2 linked regions of the Notamacropus eugenii genome follow. The protein of the gene in region 1 purifies or fractionates together with the protein of each later gene. This does not show direct contact. Links are inferred from orthologs where the notes say so. Each region holds a gene or a part of one and is shown in the gene's direction. Other genes may lie near its edges.

The links. Proteins that work in one complex are often made in the same cells at the same time.
Region 2: the proteins of GJA1 (region 1) and UBQLN4 purify together in Homo sapiens (affinity purification with western blotting; 3 studies listed by BioGRID). This does not show direct contact. The link is inferred for Notamacropus eugenii from reciprocal best matches to the Homo sapiens genes GJA1 and UBQLN4.

What each region holds. Positions count from the first base shown.
Region 1 is NC_092873.1:203,953,909-203,961,653, forward strand, and holds the start of GJA1 (gap junction alpha-1 protein), read left to right. Parts: upstream 1-4,744; 5' UTR 4,745-4,888; exon of another isoform or gene 4,889-5,063; intron 5,064-5,764; exon of another isoform or gene 5,765-5,958; intron 5,959-7,745. UniProt on the Homo sapiens protein: Gap junction protein that acts as a regulator of bladder capacity. A gap junction consists of a cluster of closely packed pairs of transmembrane channels, the connexons, through which materials of low MW diffuse from one cell to a neighboring cell.
Region 2 is NC_092873.1:380,138,074-380,145,331, reverse strand, and holds the start of UBQLN4 (ubiquilin-4), read left to right. Parts: upstream 1-4,235; 5' UTR 4,236-4,253; coding exon 4,254-4,427; intron 4,428-5,401; coding exon 5,402-5,553; intron 5,554-7,258. Other genes in the region: ragulator complex protein LAMTOR2, read right to left, coding at 303-359, 640-729, 1,755-1,917, 2,485-2,552. UniProt on the Homo sapiens protein: Regulator of protein degradation that mediates the proteasomal targeting of misfolded, mislocalized or accumulated proteins.

The sequences.
Region 1 (7,745 bases):
ATATGGGTAGGAGAGAAGATAGGGATACAGCAAAATTAAAATGATGCAAAAACAAAAGTTACGAATATGTAGATGAGACTCCCAGGTTCATCTCCCAGGTTCATAACTGTTGAAAAGAGTTGCAGCAGATGGGAAGTGATGGGAATGCCTTTAATTGGAGAATGAAGTAGGGGTAGCTAACATCCACCTCACCTTTGGTTACAGGGGACTTTCTCAGATTAAATTGTGTCATTACTTTTCAAGCTGGCTTTGCCAGACTTGTATTCTTTCCACTAAATTGAGCTTGGAAAATTTGCTTGGAGTGTATTTTAATGTTAGAGGAGACATCACTGTACCGAAGTACCATTATTTGATCTTCTGGCTTATTTTCCCCCACTCTTTTCATATTATTTGTCTGCATTGGATTTAAAAATAAGGCAATGCAGAAATCTGACTCTATCAGTGAAGATTAGCTTATCAATATGGTATAAACCAAAGAGGGAAAATCAGTGGAACCAGTCCCCAAGCTAAGACACTACTTCTCACAACAATGTGTATTGGTATATTTCATTCTGAAACTGTAATTTGCTCTTCTACAGTAATTTGCTGTATATTTTTCAAGCTAAGTATTAAAACCAAGTAACAGAATTTTTTAAAGCTGAAAGATTGACCCCAGCAGATCAGAAAGACTGCCTTACTTAGGGCAGGAACTCATGACTCCTGTTTCCTTGCTTCTTTCTGAGGAAGGTTAACTCTGGAAAAAACCTCCTGAATGTTTTGGCCCTGTCCAATTCTTTTTCCTTCAAAAACATATTTATTTGGTAGCTTTTGTTTATACATCAGCTTTGTTTTTGTATGTGTTCCATCCTCCTACACTAACAACAAATTGTCTATCCCTTGTCCTAGTGGGAGAAAGAAAAACAGGTCAGTAAAACTAACAACGTATCAACCCAATCTGATAGTAGCATATTCAATGTTGCATATTTTGAAAGAGAGAGGGAGAGCGAGATGCATTTTCTTTTCTCCTGTCCAAACTTGGTTGTTAAAATTACATAGTATTAAGATTTACTTGAGCTAATTGTGTTCTTTCCATTTACATTGTTATATTGTCATATACACATATATGTACACATATATGTTCTGCCTACTTTACTCTGTATCAGTTTATTTAAGGTTTTTTTTTCAGGTTTCTTCGAACTCTTCATATTCATTTATTAAGGTGCAGTAATATTCAATTGCATTCACATACCACAGTTTGCTTAGCTATTTCCCTAAATAACGGCACTGTTCATTTCTTCTGCCCAACTAATCTAATCTCCAGATCACTTATCTGGGTTAACACTATTTAACCAGCAAGAAATCATTCAATATACTACAACAACTATTGTTAATTAAACAACATGAGTTAATTCTGAGAGTAACCTATGTCATTTAATGAACTTTTTGTTTTTCCAAGCTTCATTGAAGCATTCTACTTTTCAATTCATATTTTCAGGATGTACTAAAAAAAAATCTGTTCTGTTTAATTCATGCCCATATTCTACCTTGTTATTGAAGAATGATTCAGGATGTACTAAAAAAAAAATCTGTCCTGTTTAATTCATGCCCGTATTCTACCTTGTTATTGAAGAATCATTGCGTCACTTGACAATTGGGCAAAAGTCATTTAAGAGAACATGTGAGTCCAAAAAAGCAGGGACATATATTTTGGATTAACTGTTCAAATCTTAATCTAAATGTTTCCATAAATCTTTCCAACTGAAAAAATATCCAAATTGTAGTAGAATAATTCTTTCCAAATGAAAAGAAATCCAAATTGTAGTAGAATAATTCTTAAAAATGGAATCAATTATAAAAATTTTAAAATAATTACATTATGTAGGTACAATTTAGAGAAACAAAATATCAGTAGAGGAGAACAATCCAAATTTTATAATTTCAACTTGGATAGATCTTTTCTGTTGAGTTATTGTTGTTCTAATAGGACAGTTTATAGGAAAGGAGCTGATTTTTGGTATTATCAGCAACAGTGCACAAATTTTCATCCAGTTATTCTAAGTAAGGACAGAGAGGAATACCTATAAACTTCTCATCTCATAAGAGATTGTTGGCAAACCATTTCAGAGCAAAGAAAGGAAATCAGGTAGATTTAATAATGCAGACTAATTTAGGATCCTATATTTAGAACTTATAGGTGTTTTGGAAGTTCTTACTCCCTCATTTTATATATAAGGAAACTAAGGATCAAAGAAGTTAAGAGACTTGCACATAGTCACACAACTAGTGTCAAAGGCAGCATAGAGCTGAGCTCAGGTCTTCCTGACTCCAGGTTCAACTTTCTATCTCTCTCATTGAATCCCATGAATTGGGGTCTAGTCTTTGACTTAGACCACCAGCTTATGAAATTCTCATTAAGAATCCACATCAGTTTGACTTGAGTTCTATTTCTCTTTGTTCATAAAGATAACAGGTCAAAAATGTATCAAGTTATTTATAAGTGGACTAGATCCTTAAATATAGATCCATCTATTTGTAATGATGACAATCTTGTTTTCATGGTATTGCTACTGACTAGTTAGTCACAATATCTCCTTTGCCACAACTAATTTGAAATGCAACTTTGGAATCTATGAGATGGTGAATTCTCATAATAATTCTATCTAATGGAATGCAGAAAATCTGATTATTAACCAAACTGGATAAAGAAAAATCCAACTGTTAAAAAAGAAATAGTGAGGCACTTCTTATAATGAATCATTTCCATATTAAAGTCTTTTGAATCCTGGGACAGTTATCTTCCCACAGTTTTGCCTTTTGTTCCTAAAAATGAGTAAAACATTTCCTTAAAAAATGGCTAGATAAATGTAAAATAAACGACAATAATAATGTTTATGAATTTCTAAGGATCGATCATTGAAAGCTGTACTACAGTTTCATGCATATAATAGCTTTCCTTCTTAGTTACAGGGAAAACAAGTTTAATTATGACTTTCAATGAAGCAAGGGAAAAGGGATGGGCTATATTAGGATAAATATAGCAGATTGTATCTAATGGTAAAGGAGTTGAAATGTTTAGGACCTGAAGAGTTACACTGGATTTGATACAAAGACTGTATATAGTTAGTCATTATGGGAGTTGTACTTTGAAAGTTTAACTAGGACAGAGCTCCATGAAGAACTGAATAGTTAGGTGGTATTTAAACTAGTTTTAAAACAACAACAATGGAGAACCTTTTTAAATTTAAACAACTGGTTAATCTGAAGAGTGATCAATTGTTTAACCAGTTTGACTAAATGTAGCTGGGTTACCTTCAAACCAATTTGTGTTTGCAGACCATAAAATGTTCTTTTACTCACTCAAATGTGTTGTCTTTCATAGTGTTGTATGACTCCTTAAGAAGAGCACAATTAGAATGAGGATAAACTAATGTCTTAACAGAAAAGGCTTCATAAGTTCCACAAGATATTTATGAGTCTATTCAGTGAAAGTAAAGTCATTCGCATCTTTGGAGAAAGGTTACTTCTTTCAAAATATTTGTCTCATTTCTTTCTGGTGGGAGACTTCAAAAATGAAGATGAAAGTCTATAGCACTAGATGAGCTCACCTTGCTAAGAGAAAATGGGCCCAAGGAGTGTCGTGAGCACTATCTCCCACCTATCCTATCCAGGTAGCATGGTGCAAACATATTTGTGGGGAGCTGTCCAACCACAGAGCCCTGCTGGGGCAGCTGAGAAGCCCACAAAGGGAACTGCTCACACCAGGAGTGAGAGCATCCAACAAAATAACTCTGTATGACTCAGGTAATTATAAAGACTGATGCAGAGTCTTGAATAGTTAGTGCCATGAAAACACTAAAGCGACTCATGAAAATTATGTGCAACGCTCAACAGTCATTGGGCAAAAGGTTCTTCTGTGATTTTTAGAGAGGGAGTTGGTCTCAAGGAGGGTCTAATGGGTATGGATGAGAGCCAAAGCTAACTTGACCTTAACCCAACTGGCAACATTAGCACTACAAGCCTGTATTCAGTAAAATAACCTAATATTTTTTCTTGCTAAACGCTGTTTCATTAAATATCTTGCATTAATCTGGGCATTGTTTCATTAAAGGGTTCTGAGATTATATTATAGTAACTACAGCTCCCTCATAGAAACTTGAGCAGATAAGGATTTCACAGTCAGCTGAATTTCGAAAAGCTAACTAAATAAACACACCTTGGCTTTTTGGTTAGCTTCTGAAGGAAATGGCAAAAATCCAGGATGGGCAGAGGGGGGGAAAAGTTAAGACAGATGTGTTTATTTTGGAAACTTCAGGGTGTCCCCCACTTGCCTGTTATTTGTCACTATCCAAGAGAAGAAAAGTGTTGAATAAAAAGAAGTTACTCTCGTCACCTTTAGCTTTCCCATTACTTAGTCTAAGGAATTCTGTCTCCATTAAAAAAATTTGGCATCTATTAATCGTTGCGTATCTACCTACCTACCTGTCTATTTAATCTGTCGACATATTTCACAATCAATCGCCTGTGTTCTAGGAAAAGGCTGTATTTTTTATTTTTTTTAATATAGTAGCTATTGTCTTACTTTCTAGAGCTTCTGGTTAAAAGGGACACCCATCAACGACGATGCTGAGACTCATAGTTCAGAGGAACGAGTCTAACCGTACTTTTCTTTTGCTCCCACTTTTAGTGGCGGGACCCTTTTCAAGTTCCTCTGTTTCTTACCCGTTCGCTTTACCCTCGCCTCTCCGCCCCCCTCTCCTCCCACAGTTTGCTGTTCCAGGCTCCTCTTTGGCCGCTCCTCCCCTTTCGCCCGTCCCCTTTCTGATGCTAACCCCTCCTTGAAGTTTAGTCAGTGGCTTGAAAACTTTTAAAAAGCTCTCTGTGCTCCAAGTTACAAAAAGGCTTTTACGAGGTATCAGCACTTTTCTTTCATTAGAGGGAAGGAGGGAGGAAAGGACAAAACGGCAGCAGACTTTTAAACTTTAAATAGACAGGTCTGAGTGCCTGAACTGGCTTTTCCATTTTATTTCAGCCTCCAAAGAGTTCAATCATTTGCTCGGGCTCCATCACTCCTTTTAAGCAAAAGAGTAAGTTCTAAAGAAAAAACTTTACCTATTATCTTCTTTCTCTTTAAGTAAAACTTTTCTAAAGTTTGTAAGTGCTTGAAAATTTCGTATTTAAGTAAAGAACTGCAAATAATATGGTGAATGGAATGGACTTTGTTTTGTTTTGTTTTTTAAATTAAGACTTTCGAATATCCTAGCTTTCTTTTGAGAGTTTAAAAAGTTTTGTCAGTTAATGCTGCAACAGGTAAAATGTCCAGAACCCTCTGCTTGGAAGCTGGAAAGTCGAAACTGATTTTGGGGGGGTTTCTAGAATATACATATATGTATACATATACGTAATAACACAGTGCCGTTCTATAAAGTGTAATTTTACTTTGATTCTTAAAATAATTTAGGTGTGTTGCAGTTGGAGGGAAATGTGGGAGGGAGGGTGCGCACTGACAGCATCTTCAAAATTAGAGCTTTGCCTTGCCTGCTTTCTATCTGTTTTCTTCACGGTGTACTTTAATATGGAAATCTTGATTGCTTTATAATAGCCTGTACCGAGTTAACTTCTTAATTAGGCGCATTGTTAAGATATTGCTAACCCTGATCCGGTGACTTGCACGTGGTCTCTCCCTGAAATTATCTGCTTTTCTAAAAACCGGATGGAAAGACCCCAGACGGATACATGAAATGTGGAAATTAAAAGAAAAAAAAGTAACTGAATAAGTTTACTCTGTGTTTCCAACTCCTACTAGAACTCTCCTGTTGAGGGAAGGTTTGAAGAGAAAGCCTCCTGTGCTTCCCACCACGTTGGCAATTTGTGGGAACTGAGGTATTTTCAGTGGCTGGTGGGTGTTTTACTGATTATCTCAACAACTGGAAGGACCATCTCCTTGTGCCAATCAGTAATATCCATAAGTTGTCTCCAGAGCTAGGGAAAAGAATAGGAAAAGTGTGATTCTTAACCAGCATCTTACAAAGATGCCTTTTCTTAAACCTGAAGCAGATTCCAGGACTCTAGAGGGGTTTCCCCTTTGTTACTGTTGCCTGAGTTCTTGCCAGTAATCAAAGATTCAGCCAATGTTGTCAAAGGGGGTTCAGTTAGAAATATTTTCTTTTATTGAGATAACACATGTTCTGCTATTCAGAAATGCAAAAATGCACGTCTGTGCTCTGTGGATTTTCCCCTGATTTGCTTTAATCCCCAATCTAAAGCAATTACTTTAACTCCTTAAAGTAGGTTCTGCTATATGTAGTAAAAAGGTTGAAAAAAAAAGCATTTTCTCTAGGCAGCTTCCATGTTTGAAAAGGGAACATTAAACACAGAGTTGGAGAGAGAATGAAAAAGAAAACTCTTTGTGAGTAGTGACTTGTGTCTCAGACTCGTGTGTGGTGGAGATCAGATCAGAGGTAACATGAGCTCTGCCATCTTAACATCTGGACTGCTTAACATACTACAGAACTCCTGATGATCTGGATTTTGAAATGTTTACCAAGTTGTTGCCCTCCGAGTCTTCCAGAGTTAAAGTGCGCCTGCTGACCCAGGTCTACTCATAAAAAATGGGTGGTGGTTGGTATGCAAAGAACAAAGATTGAAATACTGGTAGAGAAGAATAGATTTGATCTTGTCACTCTCTGTCCTGATAGGCATAAGTAGAGCCCTTTATTCTCTCAAACATGCAGGACACAGAGATACCCTTATAGCTTTCAAAGTCAGACCATATTAGGTAGTGTGATAAAACATGCCTAATAACTTTTATCTTGAAGCAACTTTAAAACATTTTTAGGGCTTCTATGAACATCTCTGAGACTGAGTTGAGTGGGAGACATTGCCTTAATTTTTAAGTGAAGAAACTGAGGTATTACTGAGAGAAGGAGAAAATGTACTCTACCCAAGTCCAACCCTATCCTGGGATGATTAGATTGTACTACCTCCTTAGCTGTGGTTATTTAATTGAATATTGACTGATTTCATATTTGCCCAGCCCTGCGCTAGGTGAATTTTACAACCTTATCTTGCTTCAATTGTCTCTCTACCACCACATCTGTTGTATCTATATACACAGATATGTATTTTTCTTTGTTTCAACCCCAGGTTTTGGGGAAGTGAGGGTACAGAGTGATAGTAGGAGGCATTTATCTGTACCTTAGAAATTTTAGTATCAAACACAAGCTTCTGGTTTGGGAATGGATTGCATTTATTTTGAACCAAGTCTTTAATGATAGAAAAGATAAATATTGCATTATAAAACATATGAGTTGAGCTAATTTGTTATTTCCTTAATGCTTGAGATTGTTGAGGCAAAACTCCTATGTAATTGAGTATTCCCACTATCCTCCAAAACCACCTTTCATTTAACCACTCCCTGAAAAAGACAATAAAGACCACAGGATGAATTGAGCTAGAATGTATTAAAAATCATAGACTTAGACCTAGGAGGGATCTTAGAGTTTACTTAGTCCAAACTGTTTCATTTTGTAGGTGAAAAAACTGGGAGGGAGGCAAAGATGAAGTGACATGCCCTAAGTCACAGGGAGTGTGAATGACTGAACAAGGATTTGAACTGGGGCCTTCCAAGACTTTTTTTCAGATAGGACACACTTAGAAGCTAAGAAGAAATTACTAAGTTTAGCCTGAAGGGAGGATTATTTTCTTTAATCAATCAACTTTTTAAGCTTGTCATGGCGCATATTAGGCACTGTGCTAGGTGCTGGGAA
Region 2 (7,258 bases), about 180 Mb from region 1:
TTTTACTTTTGGCCTGCTCTAATTGTTTTTCCTGACCTATGCAAGCCTAAATCTGCCTCTGAAACTTTCATTCACTTCCCGATGGGGCCAAAGGGAACAAATCTAATCCTCTAGTACCTCCCCCACTAAACGTGACCATTAAGAAAGAATCTAAGACATAAGACAGGTGTTAAATAGTTTATTCAATGAGATTGGAAAACTTCCCTTCAGACCTCAGGAAAGGTTTACTGGGGACCCTGCCCCCATCAAAAGATGAGCCCTCCACCCTCATCCCCACTCTCAAGTCGATTATCCCCCGATTGCTATGACGCTGCCACTTGAGTGAGGGGATCCTCCAGGTACTGAACCAGGGCCTGGGCCTGTAAGAAGGTTAGTTCAATTTAGCCATGAAAAGAATACCTGATGGAGTCAAGGACTGGGACATCCAGACTCCCAGTTCCACTCCCTCCCTCCCCATCAGCATCAGCTTTTAAACCTCATACACTTTTTCCCAGGAAATAAGACTGAGATGTCTGAGCTCCTCATTTCTACCTATTCTAGAGAAAGCTTGGGAATAGGGAAGAGGACTCCGAACTAGCAAGATGAGGGCATGAAGAACATGAGACATTTTTTAAAAAAGGAGATGGGATAAGGGATCACCTTGGCCTTCAGCATTCCAAAGCCCACAGTCTCTTTGGCGTACATACACAGCAACAGGTTTGCCACCCGAGTGATTGCTACCCGGCCCTCCTGCAGGGGTAGAAAATGTGATATATGACTGCTAATTGGCCCCAGCTGTCCCCACCATTATGGTTCCTAGAATCCATTTTTTGGAATAATGTAATATTTGTGTGATTTTAGGTAAACTCCTTGGCCCCCAATTTTCTTAGGGAGTTGGAATAAAAAACCTCTGAGGAGTCTTCCAGCTCTAAATTTGGGATTCTATGATCTTTTTTAGGCTTACATACTATCATATAGCCTCATGTATTGTTCTCAGTTTAATGTAATTCTCAGAGAAACTATAAGCTGTCAGGGCAAAGACTCAGGCACATGAAATGGTTTCTTTGTATGAGGTAAAAAATTAAAGTACCAGGTTCAGATCCTTGCTTTCAGGTCTACTTGAGACTGTACCCTAAAATTGTTGTTGGGGTCCCACCCCCATGATGCACTTGGGAGTTTCTGTCTCCTCCTCCCTCCAATCATCCAGCATCTGCTCCAAGTCTATCCACTGATTAAAGTAATCAGAGTACAATGGAAACAACACTGAATTTGAAGTCGGAGGACCAAAGATCCAGAAGATTGCAAACTCTTGGAGAATAGGGATTGTTTTGTCCTTGTTACCCCTAGTTCTTAACACAGGGTCTGAGGCTTAGTGATTGTCAAATTGAATTGAATTTCAAAGTGCAAGCTGCCTTGAAGGTCAATGAGTCCAAACTTCCCATTTTACAGATAAGGAAACCGAGGCCCTGAGAGGTTGTGACTTGCCTGAGAATAACAGACATTTAAATAATATAGACAGTACTTAAACCCAGGTTCTCTAAATCTAAATCCAGCACTCATTCCATTATTAACATAGTCTAATCTGCACTTTTGCTATGTTTGTGACCTGGGCATATCACTTAGCTCTCAGTTTTTTCATCCATAAAACAGAAGGGGATTGGATAATAGGCTCTCTGTGTTCCCTTCCAGCCCTAAATCATTGACCCCAAAGAGTCATCCACTAAGGGAATCTAGTTTAAATCCCTCCACTCCAGGAGCTCCACTCCCCTTCATACCATGCAGTCCATAAGGATGAATTTGAGATTGTCTTCGTTAAAGGCTTGGTTCCCATTCCGGTCGTAGGCAGCCCAGATGTTACTGGCGATGGCAGCAGTGACCCTAGCATCGGTGTCCCCATAACCAGAGTAGGCCAGCAGGGAGCCCTCATTATTCAGCAACCTGGGGAGGGGGGATATAGTTAAAATGACTGGCTGGAGTCCTATGAATGTGTTCCGGGGTGAGAAGCCTGAGTTCCCTCTCCTAGATTTCGCTTTCCCCAGGGGTTGGGGCCCCAAGCTAAAAGCTATCAGCCTCCCCCCGCGACACACACACACTTTCTGAAAACCACTGCCCTCTTCTTCCCCCTTCCTTCCCTTCCCCCCTGCCCAAATCTTTCTTCTTCCCTCAGTCCCGCCACCCATTCCTCATCCAGGTTTCATTTCCCTAATAGCTCAAATTCCAGGAAAGCAAAGCTTGTTTCATTTTTGTCCATGAACCCCCCAAACCCCTGCACGGGGGCTGCCATCCAGTAGGGACGCCTTAACAAATGCTGGCTGACGGACCGATGGATTGATTGATAGCGTGCCCCTTTTCCTACACCTCCGTGTTCCTGGGGTCTCTTCCTCCCTTCCTGGGGTATGCAGAGCTCCCACTCCCGGGCCGGACTACAGGCTTGTTCCAATCCCAGCTAGGATGCACTGCATCCTGCCCCTTCTCCCCAGGGCACCCCCTACCCCCAACACTTACAGTGTGCTCTGGACGCCTCCGGTGTTGGCTTGACTTAGCACCTGGGTCAGGGCCTTGGGGCGAAGCATGACGACCGCTCCGAGTCCCCGCAACCCGGTCTACGTCCTGGATCCCTAGGGTCTTCCCCTGGCTCGCACTAGGTCGGACGCTTCCCGTAGCCCCGGCCGGTTCCCCCGGGGCTCACTGGGAATTGTAGTCTCCACCGGTAATGATCATTGCAGGCCTCCGTGGTAGGGCACCCTGGAAATTGTAGTTCTTTCTCAGCCCGAGAGGCATCTTGGGGGCCGTAGTCCAACATGCGAGGAGTAAAGACTCACCGAGGACATTTAAGCCGTCCCGGGAGCCTGGAGTAGTGTGGTCCGCACGTAATGAGTCATTTATTTAATTTTTGTGTGTGTGCGCAAATCTTTGCGCTTTGCAAGGTACTTTCATATAAATCAACAAGCATTTATTAAGCATGTAGCAGGCACTGTGCTAAACCTAAATTGCCCTTAATAATCATGTGGGGTAGGAAGGTTAAGTATTATTAATCTCCATTTTATATAAATGGGGATAAAAAGTCGTGACTTGCCCAAGGTCACACAGCTAGCTCCTACTTGAGCTGTTGTTTCCCTGTCTAGTGCTCTTTTCACTCCAGCATACTACTTTTGTTTTTATTTAAGAGAGGAGGTTAGAAGAAGAGGGAATTTAGCATAAAGCATCAGATGTTAGATTCCAATCAACCAGCAAACATTTATTAAGCTAAAAATACCCAGGTTCAAGTTCTGCCCCTGCCACACAATGACTGGGTAAATCTGAGCAAGTCATTTAACCTCCTTTCTGCAGACAACTAAGGGGATAAATTGCAGAGAAGGTGCTGGCCTGCACTGGTAAAAGGAATGTCCCCACCCAGGAGTTCCCTGCACCAAAGAAATCACAGCCTTATTCCTATCAAGCACAAAATCTTCTAGGTTCTAGTGACTGGGAGACACTTTACACAGGATTACAAAAGATCGAGGCTATTTGATTCTGAAGGGGAAGGAAGACTCCTAACTAGGGGAGGAGAAATGACCCTCAGAGGAAAGCTAAATGTCATCAGAAGGAGAGAAGTTTATAAGGTCAAGAAACAGAAGAGGAGTAGCTGTGGCACTGACCATTTTCTTATTTCTCAGGGCTGAAACCTTTCTTGTGTGTTGTCTCCCCATTAGAACCCGGTCTCCTGTAGATCAGGGACTGTCTTACTTCTCTTCTTCCCCAGGACATAACAGTACGTCAGTCAATAAATATTCAGCACCTACTGGGTGCCAGATACAGGGTTGTGCATAGATTAAATGCTTAATAATTTTTTTCATCCACCCATTTACACAGTAAACATCTGAGGCTGAATTCGAACCCAGGTCTTCTTGATTCCTTTTTGTCCTGTGAGACAAGAGACCTTTCCAATCCAGTGACCATCAGGACCCTTTAAAGTCAATGACCGTCCCGTCCAGTGAACTTTCTCCCTCCTAGACACATTGTCCCCGGTGCTGCCGTGACTCCCCCAGTCCGCTGGGGGCGCTGTAACCGCCGAGAGCTAGAGAAGGAAGAGAAGCGGAGACTCGCGGGGCGGGGCGGGCGCGGCTGCGGCGGCGGCGGAGGCGGCGGCGGCGGCAGGGGGGGGGGAGGGACGGAGGGCGGGCAGGAGAAGGCTGGGGTGGGGGGGGAGGGCTGGGGACGCCGTGGCCGGGCCGGGCCGGGCGGGGAGGAGGAGCCGGGGCCGGGCTGGCGGGCGGGCGGACGGCGGCGGCGGCATGGCGGAGCCGAACGGGGCCGGAGCCGGGGCCGGGGCCGGGACCGGGACCGGGACAGGGGCCGCGTCCGGAACCGGTGCCGAGCCGGGGCCAGGGCCCCCGATCCGGGTCACCGTCAAGACCCCCAAGGACAAGGAGGAGATCGTGATCTGCGATCGCGCCTCGGTGAAGGAGGTATGGACGCCGCTGGCCGTTCGGCGGGCCGCGGAGGCGGGAGGAGCGGCGCGCTGGGGGCCGGGCCGGGCCGGGCGCGGGCGTGCAGGGAGGGACGGAGGGGGCGGGGAGGGACGGCCGGGGGGAGGGGAGAGGAAGGAGGGGGCCTCTGGCACATGGTGGGGAGGGGAGGGAAAGGGGAGGCTCGTCCATCCCTGGAAGCAGACGGGAGGTGGGGGGCGAAGAGAGGTTGCAGGAGTGGGGTCAGGGGGCTGTCTGACCCACGAGGGTCCGGGCAGGCTAGAAAGTGAGGAGGCGGCGTACCCCCAGTCCCAGTCCTGGAGCTCGGAAGGGCCAGAAGCTGGCCCTAAGGGATGAGAGGAGAAAGCCCCCCATGCCCCAAATGCCCCATTCAGGGAAATGCCCTTTTCCTTTAAGACCCTGCTTGCCCCCACAGAGTGCTGGTTGTAGGCTGCCTTGGTCCTGATCCCCTCCTTTACTGCCTTAGCCTAGAATGAGTTTAAAGATAACGGCACCCCCAAGTTTAAAGGTGGAGAGTAAGAGAAAACTGAAGGGGGAGATCCAAGTGAGGAAAGAAAGGTTAGATAGTAGCAAGGAGTTGATTTTTTTTTGGGAGAGGGTGATACTGTGTTATGGACAAAAGAGTCAGAGAAACTGACTTGGTTAGAATTTAAACTCCTCAGTTTACTTTGGATAAGCCGGTCCACCCCCTCAGTTAGCTCATCTCTTGGGGTTGGCCTAAGTGGTCTGTAAGGTCCCTCTCAGCTCCAAATCCTGTGATCAAGGGAGGACTAGAGCCCCTGTGGTCTTCATCTCAGTAGAGTATGCAGCAGGACACAGAGGTGCTAGATTGGAGGAAAGATTTCTGATGACTGGAAATTGGAGCAAGGATTCTGAAGAAGAGTCTGAGCTGTTGGACAGTCTTTCTGTGAGGCAGGCCACACTGACCCTGGACCTTTGACCTGATATCACAGTTCAAAGAGGAGATCTCCCGGAGGTTTAAAGCCCAGCAAGACCAGCTTGTCCTGATCTTCGCTGGCAAGATTCTCAAAGATGGAGACACGTTAAATCAACATGGGATCAAGGATGGGCTCACTGTCCATTTGGTGATCAAGACCCCGCAGAAGTAAGTTTGGGATAACCAATAGGAGCTGCCCTTTGAATGGTCCTTGAAAGGCTACTGCTTTCTTACTCATCCTAACCCAATGGAAATCGTTTAGAGGTCTGAGAAGGAGATGCTATAGTCTTGATTGCGAGTTTGGGCTTTTTAAGTGTATAAAATTTAACTTAACATCCTCCTAGTATAATGTTACTTCCCTAGAAAAAATGGAGGCTAGTGTCTTACCCTTTTAAAAATCCTTGCTGAGAAGTTCAGTCCTTTATTAGTTTTCCATTTTCTTAAAGAAATAATTCTTTTGGAAAAAATTTTATTGATGACTTTTCTTTGAATGCCATGTGACTTTTCAGTCATTCTGTCTTCCTCTATTCTACAAAATAGTACTCTTCTCTTGTAGGAAAGAAAAACTGTAGTAAAGCAAAACAAACCATCATATTGACTGTTTCAGCCAGGTACCTCATTCTGCATTTGTAGTCCTTCATTGTTCTGTCAAGCAGAGGAAAGTGGTTTTGGCCATTTTCAGTTTTCTGACGTTGAGATTGGTCACTGCCTGGATCAAGTAACAATGGCTAGCATTTATACAGCACTTTAAGTTTTATAAGCCATTTTACCTCATTTGATCTTCAGCACTGGGAGTGCTCTTGCCCACTGTAGTCCCTAGCAGCCTAATGTTCTGATGGCTTTCATTGTTTTCCTTTACTTTAGTATGATCTTTCAGTAAATGATCATAATCAATTTCTAGTTCTGCTCATTTTACTCTGCATCAGTTCATTCAAGTCTTTCCAAGTTTCCCTGAACTCTTCTTATTTGTCATTTCTTATGGCACAATAAGATTCCATGGCATTCATGGTACAATTGAAAAGAGCCTTGGGTTTAGAGTCAGAACATTGGCTCAAACCCTGCCCAACACTTGCAACCTCTTTGACCTTGGACAAATCTCTTAACCTCACCAGGCCTTAGTTTCCTTGTCTGTAAAATGAAAGATGGACTCCTAGCTTCTTTATTTCCAGTTTCTTGCTATCTCAGAAAGTATTGTTATAAATATTTTTGTGTATGTGGACCCTTTCCCTTTGTCCTTGACATCCTTAGGATATGTCAATAAATCAGTCGCTAAGTCAATAAACGTTTACTAAGCACCTACTATATGCCTGGCCCTGTGTTAAAAGGGAAAGTCCCTGCCCTCTAGGAGCTTCCAATCTAATGTGGGAAGATTATATACAAAAGGCAGGTAAAGGGGGGAGGGGTAGTACCTGACTTGGGGGCATGGTGGAGAAGTCAGAAAAGTTCCAGAGGAGTGAGATCAGGTGAGAAATGAGATGTTCTGAGCCCAGCTCCCTGCTTAAATAGAGTTTTGAAAGTTCATGGCACCACCTTTCAATCAGAAGGGCAGAGGGTAGTAAAGAAGTGAAGTCCTAGGGCTGAAAAGACCTTTCAGGATGGTGAGATTTTCCCAATAATGAGCTTCTTTGACCCTGGTGGAGAAGTCACAGATGTCCCAGAGTAGTACTCAGGTGCGAAATAAGGAGGCCCAATACTGGTATTACTGGGGGTGAGTGTGTGGGCGTGTAGTTCAGCCCGGTTCCAAATTGTTTTCTAGAACACTTAGATCGGTTCATAGCTCTACCAACAGTATGAATGTGCTCATCTTCCCTCATATCAGCTAACATTTACCCTTTACCATGTAGTCATCTTTACCTGTGTGCTGGGTGTAGGG